Lytechinus pictus: one gene and its partner. The protein of the gene in region 1 purifies or fractionates together with the protein of each later gene. This does not show direct contact. Links are inferred from orthologs where the notes say so. Each region holds a gene or a part of one and is shown on either strand. Other genes may lie near its edges.

Evidence for each region. Proteins that work in one complex are often made in the same cells at the same time.
Region 2: the proteins of serine/threonine-protein kinase Nek2-like (region 1) and anaphase-promoting complex subunit 1-like purify together in Homo sapiens (affinity purification with mass spectrometry; 3 studies listed by BioGRID and IntAct, with this or other methods). This does not show direct contact. The link is inferred for Lytechinus pictus from reciprocal best matches to the Homo sapiens genes NEK2 and ANAPC1.

What each region holds. Positions count from the first base shown.
Region 1 is NC_087251.1:48,003,982-48,011,337, forward strand, and holds the start of serine/threonine-protein kinase Nek2-like, read right to left. Parts: upstream 3,018-7,356; 5' UTR 2,817-3,017; coding exon 2,721-2,816; intron 1-2,720. UniProt on the Homo sapiens protein: Protein kinase which is involved in the control of centrosome separation and bipolar spindle formation in mitotic cells and chromatin condensation in meiotic cells.
Region 2 is NC_087251.1:44,500,710-44,508,818, reverse strand, and holds the start of anaphase-promoting complex subunit 1-like, read left to right. Parts: upstream 1-4,997; 5' UTR 4,998-5,092; coding exon 5,093-5,179; intron 5,180-8,109. UniProt on the Homo sapiens protein: Component of the anaphase promoting complex/cyclosome (APC/C), a cell cycle-regulated E3 ubiquitin ligase that controls progression through mitosis and the G1 phase of the cell cycle.

The DNA of each region.
Region 1 (7,356 bases):
TCAGCAAAACTTGTGTCACTCAGTGTGTCTTCATGGTCTTTGTCCGCGAAGATAGAACACACTACAGACAGTATACCCAGTTGTTGCGTGTCCGGACAGGTTGTGTGTCCGGACGATCAATTTTAGAAAGTCATTTGGAAGAATTTACAAGCGAAGTTTCGTAATTTTTTAGTACAAAATGTTAGGAAATATTATAAAGAACAAAATAGAAGATGATTACAAGTATTGAATTCATATTTTAGTGTAATACAAAGACAAAAAAGAAGGCTTCAAAAATATAAAGTGTCCGGACACCCGACCCCCCATCCTACTAACACTAACAGTTTTCCAAGACACTGCTCACTCGTTGATCGGTATAGAGTAAATAGAAGTTTGAAATCGCCCTGTCCCTGGCTCAATTTCTCAAGCAACAATCATGGCATGATATGACATGTCAATCAATTGCCAATTGCAATCACATTTTCATCAATAATCTTTCCGATCTTGCTCGTTGCTGGCAATTAATGCAATTTGCCAGTTATTCACTTGGTATGTACTAAAATGTGAATAATTTATCAGCCCTGATGAATATTTTTGTAACTGTCTTGATCAAAACTTAAAGACATAATAATAAGCCAGGGCCCAGGTTTTCGGGTCAGTGCAGAGTAGCCTGGAAGCTTCTGGAGAGTAAAAGTACTACTGTACGTAGACCAAAAGCTTCAGTCTCTGTATTTTGGTTGTTCCGCTGAACTACGTTGGCTCCACTCACCATACATAGACTGAAGGGGATGGGGCCCCGTACCTACAGCCAACGTATAGTGAACTAGCGTTTTATAGATCGCGATTTAAAACTGTTTTTTAAGCAAAATTGAAAGTTTCATGGTTTCCATTATCAGGGAAATATAAATAACTTAAGTAATTGCATACCTTGGGCCGGAGTTATTGAAAAAAATCCTCTGGATGATTGAGAAATCTGTCATCTAAGACATTTTCACCTGACCTGACGGTTTTTCTTGCAAGTTGCCATCTTGAATGACGTCATTATCGTATTAACTTAATGTCTCGAATCGATATATCGCGATTATAACTAGTACTAGTACTAGTATAACTAGTATCGTTTATCTTCGGTTTCGTTCGCATATGGAGCAGATCGTATAATATCGAAAGCAATATCGATATCACATTCGTGATTGTTGACGTTCGTTTGTAAATATTTTATAGTTTGGCTGCCATTTTGACCATTTTTATCGTGTTTGACCATTTTTATCGTGTTCAACCCAATTAAACATCGGTAAAGTATATTTTTCATGCCTTTTTCATCTATATCGTTTAAAGTATTTAAATGTTAGAATATCAAGGTCTAAAAGTTTGTTGTTTATACATCCTTAGATTGTAAATTCGATGTGTAAAATTACATCAAACTTTGGACTGTGAATTGACAAAAGGGAGGGAATGAGAACACATGCGAGCCCACACGTACACCCTACCGTAGGTAAATGGCACTCCTAGTACCAATGAGGTCCAACATTACATGTATGGACCTCATAGGCGACATCAGTAGTATTTTTGGTTAGAAATCTCTGAGAACAGGATATTTATATATTATATCACAAGTGCAAGCTATATTCCTTTCTCTTATTTAAATTATAATTTTAGAGTGTAAATGCATCGTTAGCAACAACAAAAAATGAAAGAAATGAAGGGGAACTTACATTTTCACGGCTTTTTCCTGATTTTCTGGGCAGCTGCTCTTCTCTTCTGACTCGCGATCGAAGCTGATATGAAGATCACGTGATTCGCGTTCTCGTCAGCTGATCGGTTGGTTATTCTTTTCGTCAGACGTTAATAATATATATTTTATAATGCTAGCATTCATCGCTAATTTAGGTGAAAGAGATTGAAGTTAAACAGCGCCAGGTCGGAATCATAATTATTTTGGAAGAGTGTATTTATACACTCGATCTCATACCTGACGTAGACGGCGCTATTCAACAAATGCACAATCTTCAATATAAAAAATAAAACAGAAAGAACGCCTTGAACACAGGCCAAAATGCCTAACGATTTCTCCGCGGCATTAACAACTATCGTAAAGGGCGCTCCATTTATCAATAAAGATGGATGCTAAGGCTGTCTATGGCGACAAAATTTGCCGCAAATATTTACGAAGAATTGTGAGAAATGGTCTGAAAATGCAACAAAAGAACCGGTGAGTACCGATTAAACATTATCAATTTATTTAATAGAACATACTTAATGACTACAATGTAACAATTTCTAGATAATATTGCTTAGTTCTAAGCTAGGGAGGCCCAAACGCGCGTGAGCGGAGTCCCACTTTATTAGCACGGGTAAGTATTGCGGTGTCGCCTAGAGTGGTAAATCATAAATGGGGATTACAGTAAAATGTCAGAAATTGTTGAATAAATCCCCAGAAACGACGGTTATTCCTGTCTATACTGTACGTAGGCTTACTCTCCATGAAGCCTGAGACGAGATGCCATAGGCCCACACATACCGAGTATTTTAGAGACAACAATGTTGTCTAGTCAGTGCAGCCAGAGCTAAGCGACCTTCGCCGCATCGCAGGCTCGCTCGCGATCGTCCCGCCGCAGGTAGCCTAGTACCATACCGGTATCCTCCCCACCACACACTATTTAAATGCCCGCCAAGCGCAAGGCGCAAGCAAGAACTTAGAAGCCGAGCCTCGGCTCGAGCCGAGAATAAAAAAGTTTACTTACCTTTCCGTCGCTTTTCCGACGTACTTTTCTGCATTTCCCGTAAGAGCCACTCCCGATCGTATAAAGAATATCATAATCGCTCAATTTTGAAGGCATCTTGGCGTTTGAATGCCACGATTGTAAAAAAATGTGTGGTCGATGGTCGTCCGTGGTTAAGGTTGTCGATCATGAAATATCATGCACGCACAATATTTTGAATTCACGCCAGCTGATTGACATTGTTTTTGATTGGGTAAGCTTGCGAAGTGAGCAGCCTATTATTGGTAGCAAATAATGCGTGGCCAATTTGATAAGTGGAGCACAATTTGGGAAGAGAACTTTGTACCAGAAAAAAATATATATTGGTGAAGGTTTGATGGAAATCCATAAAAAAATTAAGAAAGTCATAAGAATTTTAAGTTTTAGATTTTTACGTCATATACGAGCAGCTGCCCCGTATTTTTTTAATTTCAATCTTTTAATGGTTCATGATGATTAAACTTTTTTTTTTCTTTTAGGAGCGGCCTTGTGAAATAATTATTGTCTATATTGATATACTAAAGGTGACCAAAAAAAATGAAAGTGACAAGCCATTGTTTTTTTACAAAAAATATGGGGAAGCTTATGCATGTAAATAAAAGTTTGTTTGCTTGTTTGCTTGCATTTATTTCTGCGTTCAAAAACACAATACAAAAATATTTACAATTACAATATACAAAATAATTCACAATATAAACAATGTAGTCATATTACATGATAAATACAAATAAGAGTGTGAGTATAAATTAATCTTTTATAAATGTAAACATATATATATAATGTAATAAATGAACGCAGGAGACCACCATCGTGAGCGGTTAGGCTTGAATTGATGGCGGCCTCATAAAAAGATTCGTGACTTAGATTGATATTTACTGGTCAAGTGGGTGCATTGCAGGTGCAGGTGCTGTATAGCAGTTGAGTAAAATCAGAATGTTAAATAGCGAATGTGGATATTTGAGTGAATGTTTTAATTTGGAGCGAGGGGTTGATAAGATTGAATGATAGTTTTCTTTAGAGTGGCTTTTAATGAGTATATGGTAGAACAAGTTTTAATATTGTTTGGAAGATCATTCCAAATGTCTGGACCATGATGTCGAATTGATTTAGAGGCAATTAACAGTCTGGGGTTAGAGAGATGAAAGTTTCCGGATATGCGCGTTGGGTAAGTATGGACAGAACTATTAAATTTAAACATGTTATCAAAAGACGAAGGGAGCAGATTGTTAATATATTTAAACATAATTATAGCTATTTGAATAGTATATAAGTCGGCAATTTTTAATGTCTTTTGTTTAAAAAATAAAGGATCGGTGTGAGCCAAATAATGCGATCCTGTACAAATGCGAATTGCTCTTTTTTGTAATTTAGAAATAGAAGTAAGTTTTGTGGAACCACAATTAGCCCAAACAACGTTACAATATGTTATATACGGGAGTATTAACGAATTATACAATAGAAGTAAAGTTTTATGAGGTAAAATAAATTTCAACTTGGAAATTATTCCAATATTTCTCGAGATACATATAATGATATGGTGCAGATGTTCATTCCAAGACAAAGCTTGATCTATGATGACGCCTAAAAATCTAGAGTGAGTCTTCCGCTCTAATGGTGTACCGTCAATCTGTAAGTGAATTGGAGTATCGGTAATATGAGAATGTTTAAAATGGATGAAGTGGGTCTTTTTTTAGTTCAAGGATAGTTCGTTTGCTTTAAACCACTGTGAAACTTTAATCAATTCAAGATTTAATATGTTATTTAGGGAAGTTATATTTTTATGAGAAAAAAAGATATTTGTGTCGTCAGCAAATAATACAAATGATAAAATAGAAGATGTGTTGATAATATCATTGACATATAATAAAAATAAAAGCGGGCCTAGAATGGAGCCTTGAGGGACACCACATTGAACTGAAAGTGAACTAGAATCGTTGCCATTAAATGTGACATATTGTTTTCGATTTATTAAATAATCTTTAAACCAAAGGAGTGATTGACCTCGTATACCATAATAATTAAGTTTTGAAAGTAAAATATTATGATTAAGTGTATCGAACGCCTTACTGAGGTCACAAAATATACCAATGACATGCTCTTTGTTAGCTATGGCGTTTGTTATTTTATCGTAAATTTGAATTAAAGCCAAGTTTGTTGAATAATTTTTTCTGAAGCCATATTGATTAGAAATTAATAAATTGTGTTTGTTGATAAATTCATAAAGTCTATTATATACTATTTTCTCGAGGATTTTGGATATACTAGGGAGTAGAGATATAGGGCGATAATTGCTTATTTCATGAGGATTGTCTTTTTTAAAAATTGGATTGACTTTGGCGATTTTGAATAAGTCAGGAAATATACCTTGTGATAGAGATTTATTAAAAACATGACTAAGAGGGTTTGCAAGCGGGTGAATTATTTCTTTTAAAAGAGACATACTAATTTTATCATGCCCATGAGATTTTGAGCTATTAAGAGACCTTGTAATGTTGAGAATTTCTGTGGGGTTCGTAGGGTTCAAGAAAAATGAATGTGGATTAGGTTCGGGGAGATAATCCGTGAAATGCGCATTTTGGCTATTGATCTTGCTTGCAAGTTCGGGTCCGATATTTGTGAAAAATGAATTGAATGAGTTTGCGTGAAGGGAAGAGTCAACTTTGGTACCATTTAAAGTGATATTATCGGTAGGTGGGGGATCTGCATTTGTTCCCATTACTTCTTTGATGATTTTCCAGGTAGTATAAGTATTTGAACTGGCATCTTTTATTCTATTAGTATAATACATTTTACGTGATAAACGAATTAATTTTGTTAACTTGTTGCGATATACTTTGTATTTTTTTAAATTGGCTTCAGTAGGATTGCGTAAATGTGACTTGTAAAGGCAATTACGTGTCTGTATCGATTTTAATAAACCTTTTGTTATCCAGGGTTGTTTGGGTGTTTTTCGATTATTTTTTACCTTTCCTATGGGAATATTCTTTTCATAATAATGTTGTAATTTATTATTTAGGAGATTATACGATGTGTTTGCGTCAGTTTCATTATAGACATCCTCCCACCCCTCAAGTAATAAGTCTTGCTTCATTAATTCAATATTACGTTTAGATTCTTTTCGATATGAGCGTTGGTTAAATGATAAATAACTTGTAATCTTTGATGGATTTCCTAAAACCTTCAACAATTTTTTTAAATGCTATTTTTATAATAAATTTCCCCGAACTTCCCCTTTAAGTAGTGAATTAGTATACTACTATGCGAGTGTGATCTTTCAGAACATACATGAGCTAGATGATCAGTTCAATTTCAACGACGAGAGTGGGGGGGGGGGGGAGAAGCTCGAAGCGGAGTTGAAAAGTAAGTGGAAAATGGACCATCGTCATAACCATCTTATCGTCATCAGTCATTATCATCTTCATCTTTTTCATCATCGTCACCCGTCATGATATCACCATCTACATCATCATCATCATCGTCATCGTCACATCATCATCACCATCATGCCTCATCCCCCTCGTCATTAAAGTACAATTACTTTAAAGGTTAAGTCCACCTCAGAAAAATGTTGATTTGAATCAATAGAGAAAAATCAGACAAGCATGATGCTGAAATTTTCATCAAAATCAGATGTAAAATAAGAAAGTTATGACATTTTAAATTTTCGCTTATTTTCACAAAATAGTTACATGCACAGATTTAGTCATATGTAAATGAAAGACTCGACAATGTCCCTCACTCACTATTTCTTTTGTCTTTTATTGTTTGAATTGTACAATATTGCTAAATTTACAGATTTGAGTCATTTGACAATAAAGACCAACTTTACTGAACCATGAAATGTAAAAAAATGGCAATTCCACGTGTTCGATCAGGGCGAAAGAAAACTTTGTTTCACAGGACAATGAGGACAAAAAATAGATCTACAATGTTTCATATTTCATATAATAAAATACAAAAGAAAATGAGTGAGCGAGTGATGTCATCAGTTCCCTCATTTGCATACCAACCGGGATGTGCATATAAATATTTTGTGAAATTTATGGGCGAAACTTAAAAATGTCATAAGGCTTTTTTTATTTTACATCTGATTTTGATGTAATTTTCAGTGTTGTGCTTGTTGGATTTTTCTCTTTTTATTCAAATCCACATTTTGTTGTGGTGGACTTGTCCTTTAACGTTGAACTAAATATCAATAAAATTTAGTCACAGAGTGATACAACTTGCCCAGAGACAGTGTGCATGCACTGATATTCCTCTTTTAACTTTCAGTTTTACTTGCACCATCCCGGCCTCCTTCCCTCCTTCCTCTGCCTCCCTTTACCTCACTTTTATAATTTTATTATTTACTATTAAGTTTGAATATTATTTTCTCTTAATTTTGTAGTCGCGTATCGCTTATTTGCTAAGGGCTAATCCAGTATTTTCCAAGGGGAGGGGGCACATTTTTCAAAGGAATTAAAATTTGACAAGCAAAAAAAAAATAAAACAACAACAAAAAAAGGTTGTCACTAAAATTTGAAAGTCATTATTTCCTGCTTACACTTTGACAAGCAAACAAAAGAAGCCCTGATCACTTGTGTATGAACGACATATTTCCATGAAAAATATTTGCTGT
Region 2 (8,109 bases), about 3.5 Mb from region 1:
CTGGTTACATGTACAGTACATGTGTATAGTACACTCTATATAATCCCTACCAAGTGCAAATATCACTTTGTGCTGATTTGTCTCCATGTACATATTCTGTGCATGCAGGATGAAAGATCTTTTCATTTTGTTTTTAAAGAATAAATCACACCCATGTGGTTCTTTCTTCTAACTTAAAATCCATTATAAGAGAAGTGAAATGAAAAGTGTAAGAAATTAATTAATTTCAACACAACCACATACTTTACTCTACATGGAGCTACCCTACATGTACAGGTGTACATGTACATGTAGGACAGGGGCTGCGGAACGGTTTTCAAAGTGGGGGGGGGGCTGACCATGCAAAAAATCACAATCATATAGCCATTTTTACGTTTTTGTACACGGTTTTGGAAAAAAGTGGGGGGGGGGGCTGAGAAGCACACTGAATTCTCAAAGAAATGATGAATGTATGATTAGGGCCTATACATGTACATCATATCTATAGACAACATTCTGAACAAACATGCTTTTTAGATGTTGGCAGTGCTGGCTTTCCATAGTTGTGGTTGATCGGATCAATCACAGCTCTTTGCAAGATGGGGCCCAGATGTACATTGATACAAAACTTATCAAAAGAGGGTGCTATTCCAAAACCTCAAGCTAACCTCAAGCTAACATGATACTGTACCATGTCCAAACAAATATTAGGCTGGTACACAGTTACACGTAGACGCAAGGTTTTGGTCTGCTGCATAAAATAGGAGTACTACCTTCATTTATGAACAAAACATTATAATACATTGCACATAATAAACCCTCATACAGCTTGTCCCAGAAAAGAAAATAAAGAATTGTCTTAATTTAATCACAAATATTATTAACAAATATGCCAAGGCCATGAACCAGGGCATCGCAAATTTGGTCTAAAAAATTGCTTTAGACTTGAAAGAAAAAAGTCATGAAATGAAACATGCAAACATTTCACATCGGAGATTTTAGGGTTGAACATGCCATAATTTGAACATTTATAATTATTAAAAAATACATGCACCTTCCTATTCATTCTAAACACTAACTTACAATTCTTTTAATAACTTTAAAAATGCTGCCGCTGGAGGAAAAGCAACTCCTCTATCTACTTCAACTATGCAGGAGAGGCAAAAATGAAGTATTTGGGCAATTCCACAAGTTGGTGGAAAAGAAATAAACAACTAAATGATCAAACAAAATCATTTTTTTCCGTTTTTGGTTTCCCTGATTTCCATAGGATCTCAAACCATATCAGTAAACTTGCCAAGTGCTGTGCAACTAGAGAGAAAAAAACCCCATGAAGTTGCAAATTAAACATGGTTTCTTTGGTATGGTTTTCATAAAAATTGTGATGAAGGAGAAACATTTCTATACTCTCTTAAAGGCCATGTCACCCTTGGACAAAATGGAAAGCAAGCAACCATGTTTCCCATCTCTTACACAAAAAATAAATATTGCTCTCTGATTTTACAACATATGAGGTTTCCATCTTTCCTTAGAATTTTCCATCTTTCCTAAGAACACATTCAACTCAATTCAATTCATTTTCCACATATTGAGTAAAAAACATACAATATCAGTAGGCCTACAATCAAATACATCCTAGATAATTACAATACAAACTAGTTATAATATGGCGTACATAAAAAAAGACGTAGAAAATCAAAATGTGAAGGGGATTGACAAAGGCCATATTGATCTGTCAAGGTCAATCCCCAATGAAAAGAAAAATGGATTAAAAATGGAATACATAAATTACATATGAGAAGAGATACTTGACCTCAAAACCCCAGATAAAGTAAAAGACAGTAAAAGACGAATGAAGGGGAGGGAGGGGCAAATATAAAACTACCTTAAGGAGTAAGAAGGGAAATTTTATATCTATGTTTGAAGGAGTGTGGAGTGTGGGGAAATGTTTGAGTTCATTTGATAAAGAATTCCAAAGTTTGGGTCCGACATATATATTGAATAGTGTTTCGTGAAAATGTGCATTTCAAATTTGGAATAAAGAGATCATTAGCTTGTCTGGTTAGACAAGTTAACATCTTGTCATATTGCTGTCCAAGAAACATGAGTAACCAACCCAAAAAAAACAACCAACATTGTGTCTCTGAGCGCTTTACATGTTCATATTCCCCCCCCCCCCCGAGTCCCCGATCACAGGATTCCGACATGCCCGCACACAATGTATGCACTTTCTCTATACCCTGGGGAGCATTTCAACAACAGTTCCAAGACTCAATTGCTAGGCCTACTACATAGGCTTTCGCATCCTACCGGGTACCCATTTAGGGTTTATTATTTATTTCCAATTCTTCTAATGCCAATTCATCCAATTGCCAACTCGTCTACTATCATTTGGTCTACCATTAGTTCGTCCACTCACCACATGGTCTACTTTCATTTAGTCTAATGCCATTCCGTCTAATAACCAGTTGGTCCAATAGCCATTTAGTCCATATACCATTTGGTCTAATTGGACTAAGTGTTAAATTGTGCAAAATGAATGAAAATGAAATGGATATTAGACCAACTGGTTATGAGACGACAACACTTCCACTCAAATTTCCATTCCAATGCATAGCAGTTTTCTCTTCTCAAGAAAAAAACCAGAATCACCACTCCAAAACATAGATGGGGCATTCCATCGAGTCAGTCGCATTTCATCTTTGCTGGTCAAAACTTGTCATTGTTACAAGGGCGAGTCTCTCTGTCAACTTTAACTTGAAATCAAAGCTTTATGAGCAAACTGACCAACATGATTATGTTCCTTCATGAACTGTGTGTTAGAAAAAAAAACTAGTCTCAAATTATATACCTTTTGACATAACCTGATAATAATACAGAGAATATTAAAGTAGCATTATATTAATTACATTTAAAGAGAATTAAATTGTTGAGAAGAGGAAATGCACTTGTTTTCTATTTGGTAATTAATGCTCTATGAATGTACTGCATAGTGAATTTTTAAATCATTCATGTAGACATAACACTACTCAGAATGGTGCATTATGGGTTCGGTGCATTATGGGTTCGGAGACTGGCCAGATTAGAGTATGGCAGTGGATTGTATTACCAAACACTTTTCATGAATTCAATCATATCAAACACATTATTCTCATAAAATTCACCAAACTTTTAACATAAATACACAATTACCTACAAAATATAAATATGTGAAAATTTTGCCGAAATTGTTTTTCCTTTTTACGATATTAGCTTCTAATCGGACCCCTCTTTGCACGTGAAATATTTTGGTCACTTGAAAAAGGTATCGTATTACCGAACGTGTTTTTTCTATGGGAAAAGTTGAGAAAACAACAAAAACACTTATGAGCTATTTTGACCATATTTTATTATTGTTAGAATATTAAGACTTTGAAAATGTGTTTTTGACCATTTATCATCAATTTCTATTCAAGTTCTCTTTGGAAAGATGTTGCAAAATTTTGAGCGTATGAATTTATTTTCTGATGCGTATGATGCGTGCGTTCGGTAATACAAGGCCGGTTGGTAATACAATCACTCACTATACTACTTTAGAGTACTAGGCTGCTGGATCATACTTGCATATGAGGAAAAAGCTGCAGGCTGTATGCAAAGACATCCTAAGAATTGGATAGCCGATCATAGCCCCATTAGAAAAATGTACATGACAAAGAATTAACTAATTACTTTCTTACTCAAATCTGAACACTTTTACCAATTTCACATCAGAGCACGATTTTCACATTGATAGGTCTATCTCTTGTAATTTTTGTTTAAAAAAAACCAAAACTTATGGGTCTGTCCCATCACAGTTTGTCCAGCACCAAAAAAAAAATGCAATTTCAACACTTCAAGCAACTTCTATTTGCATATTTTCTTTTCCACTGATGTTACAGAAATGACCCTAAAAATATCAAAATGATTAATGAAATTCCAAAGAAAAGGTCATGATTCTGATTCCCACTCCATGAGTGCAGTGGAGGCAAGCCCTAATGTTTATAGATCGCCTTCTTCTTCTTGTTTTTTCTTGAAGTGAACTACCTGGAGTTAGGCCTACCTTGAAGGCTTTTCTTCATCAACAGTTTGTCAGTAGTTCCATAGACCGCCCTTTTCAGAATTAGCCTGTTCCAATCGAGCCTATTTTTAATTTCGCTCCCAGCATTATGCAGTTATAAATGCTCCACTTTTTTGGGGTTGAGTGCCAATTCCCTGCCCCCTGAACGCACATTATTCAAAGGTATAAGTGCACAAGGAATCTAAATCATATGGATAAGAATTAAGATAACTAATGCGTTTACGCGTTAGTTAGCTTCACCTTTGAGAGGAGAAGGGGGAGAACCCCTCCGGAGATCATGTGATCAACTGATATTGTCAATATTACCATTATTGATAGCGCTGATTGATGTCAACCAAAAATTTGCGAAAATGAAATCTGCAGTTTGCATCCTCCATCTCACATCCAACATTCTCATCTGGGCAAAGAATGGTTTGCCAAGATTCAATGGATATGGCTGCCTCTGGAAAATATTATAAAGTGCAATAAAGCCTAATAAAGGGATTAAAAGTTACATTCTACAAAAACTAAAGCCAACAATACAGTCTATACACACACAAACATACATTACATACTGCACGCTCACTCTCAGCTCTGGTACACAATCGGCCTCGCTGAGATTAGGCCGTAAACGCAAGGGAAGGGACCTCCCCATTATTAACACAATACACATGTGGAACAACACACGTCGAAGGGATCAAACGCAACATCAAGGGGGCTCAAAATGCACAATCCAGACAATATAAGACTATCTATTTAATTGAGATTATCATAAACAATTGGGTTTATTATTACAAGTCACGTCACAATTTCAAACATGAATGGTTTGGGGTAAAACAAATGAAAAATACATACCAAAGCGTCCACTATCCGGAAATTTATGGGTACCGCTCGCGATCGCGTTTTCCGATCAACGCTAATTTACATGCCAGATTCTGAACGCAGATGGCGACATTCCACAAATCCGAACGATCGATCCGAAACGTGCAATTATATCGAAGCGGTAAATTAGATTTGTCTTGATTGAGCCCTGAGTTGATGTCAACTCCGCCCGTGAAAATACTTGAATTGTCTTTTTCAGATTCATGTGAGACTATTGAATTAGAGGGAAAGCTGGAAGACGAGGTACAGTATGATTTTCTGAAGAATTGATTATGGAATACTTCCAGACTAACGTTAGATTGAAATTCAAATTATTATCATCGACCTGCATCACGTCACCTCAGGCTCAGTCCCACACCCTTTGGCTTAACTTCCTTAAGTTTTGCTCGATGCTCATTCTGAATTTTAACATTGTGACAAGTTAACGTTAGAATATTATATCTAATTTATTACACTCTATTGACAATTTATTTTCAGTAACTTTAAAGTTTGCAATGACCTTCTCTGATTTAAGGATATATTTTAAAGTGGTTCTTTTTTAGTGACATTTGCCATTTGATTCAAGTGACAAGTTTCAACACCCATTTTTTTTCATTGAATAAAACAAAAATGAATAAAAATGGGTGTTTATTACATAATGGCATAACAGACAGGCCAGAGGGAGGCAGTCTGACCCCAGCTCCTGGAAGATTTTTACCTGGAAATTCAAAAATACAAGTGGAATAATGAAAGGAAAGGAGACTAAAGACATGGAGAGAAGAAAGAAATAAAATTAAAACTTAAAAGAGGGATGTGAAGAGGGGAGAGGAGAAAGAAGAGAAAATACATGAAAGGGAAAGGAATAGCAAGGAATAATTTTCCTGGTATCGATCGCAATTTGCTCCACACTTTTGAAAGACTGCTATGCCAGGGCTCCACACTAACCCTTTTTTTCTACTGGTCCAACCTATTCATGTCGGACCAGTAGATACCCAGTTTTTCCATTTTTTACTGGTCCGAACCTAAAATCTACTGGTCCCCAAAATAAAGAAAACATTAAAAAAAGGCGTGAGTTTATTTTGCTGTCCTTTCTTGTTACCCCCCCCCCCAAAAAAAATGAAGGAATGAAAGAAACAAAGGAAGAAATAATAAAAGAAAGGAAGGAAGAACAAATAAAAGGTAAAGAAAGGATAGATGTGAAGGAAGGAAAAAAGAAAGAACAAAAGAAAAAAAGGAAAAACAAAAGACAGAAAGTAATGAAAAAAGGAAAGAAGCAATAAAATAAGAAAGAAAGGGTATAAGGAAAGAAGGAAAAAAGATAGAAAGAAAGAAAGGAAGAAAAAGGGTAAATAAAGGATAAATGTGAAGGAAGGAAAAAAAGAAAGAACTGAAGAGGGAAAGGAAGGAAGGAAAGAAAGAACAAAAATAAGAAAGAAAGAACAAAAGAAAAAAGAAATAAAGGAATGAAGGAAAGAAAGAAAGAAGGAAAGAAATGAAGCAAGCAATATAGAAAGAAAGAACAAAAGAAGGAAAGAAGCAATAAAAAAAGAAAGAAAGGGTAAAAGGAGAGATGGAAAGAAGGAAAAAAGAAAGAAAGTATTGAAAGAAGGAAGAAATAAAGAAAGGTAAAATGATAGATAGAAGGAAGGAAGCAAGCAAGCAATAGAAAAAAGAAAGAAAATGTAAAATAGATGAAAGTAAGAAAAAAAAGAAAGACCGAAAGACAAAGAAAGGAAGGAATGAGGGAAAAAAAGAACGAAAGAAGAAAGGAAAGGAAGCAAGCAGTAAAAAAAAAAAAAAAAAAAGTAAAAGGATAGATGGAATGAAGGGAAAAAAGAAAGGAAGGAATGAATGAAAGAAAGAGAGAAAGGGCTGAAAGAAGGAAGAAATAAAAAACAAGAAATGGTAAAGAAAGGATGGATGGAATGAAGAAAGAAACAAAGAATGAAGGAAAGAAAGGGTAAAAAGAAGGAAAGGAAGAAAGAAAGAAGAGATAAATATAGGATGGATGGACTCAAGAATAAAAGAAAGAAAGAAATCAAAAAAGAAAGAGAAAAAGAAATAGAGAAAAATGTTAAAAGGACAGAAAGAATGAAAGAACGAAAGACAAAGAATAATTAAAAAAGAAAGACAGTAACAAAAAAAATTAAAGAAGAGAGGGAAGAAACAAAGAAAGATTGAAAAGAAAGAAGGAAAGAAAGATAGAAAGAAAACAGAGGAAGAAAGCTAAAACTATCATAAATAAATTATCAGTTTCTTTTTGGCTCAATTAAGATATAGCTACGAAAGAAACCAAGTGTATCAACACACACACAAATGCATATGTGGGGCTATCATGTATTCAGACGATATCACTCGAAACCCGATCTCTTTGAACTAAAACAGAAGTGAAAATTTCTCCTTTTACTGCTTACAAATGACAGTTACCCCAATTTTTTGGAAATATGGACATTATAAGAGCTTTTCATTAGTGTGAAATGTGAATTTTGACCGTTCTGTGAGAGATTTCTGCCAGAGGTTTGCCAAGCTTCGTTCGTGCAGCCAGTAGAAAATTCACCATGTGGGCTGTGTGGCTGGCTAGCCATATGTACACTGTATGTTACCCTAGTAAAAATTGCATGCGATTCATTCTGTGTGTGAATGACCAAATTTAACGGGAGGAAAATGGTTTGCAATTTGAGTCATGGAATATTTTTTATGTTTATGTTGGACTAGTGAATTTGACCATTTCTGGAAAAGTTACTGGCCCAACAATGGTTTTTATTACTGTTTATGTCGGACCCATAAATCTTGCTATTTTTGGAAAAATTACCGGCCCGACAATGATATTTTCTTACTGGTCTTGTCGGACCAGTAAATCTTGCTATTTCTGAAAATCTACCGGCCCGACAGTGATTTTTACCGGTCTGGGACCGTCGGACCGGCGCTAGTGTCGAGCCCTGGCTATGCCAAGGCTATGCATATAAATCTTTTGTATAGCATACTGCATATTTTTACATAGGACTACTTTACTTTAGTTGAGAGCTTTTCTCTTAAAAAGTCTTATGACCCAAAATGCTAAATTCAAATAATGTAGTGTACTGAAAAATTATTCCCTGAATAGAAGAGGAAAGGAAAGGAAGAAAATGGAAAGGAAAAAGGAGCATTTAACAAAGGTAATAAAAAGAAAGGGAAATGGAAGGAAAGAGGAAAAT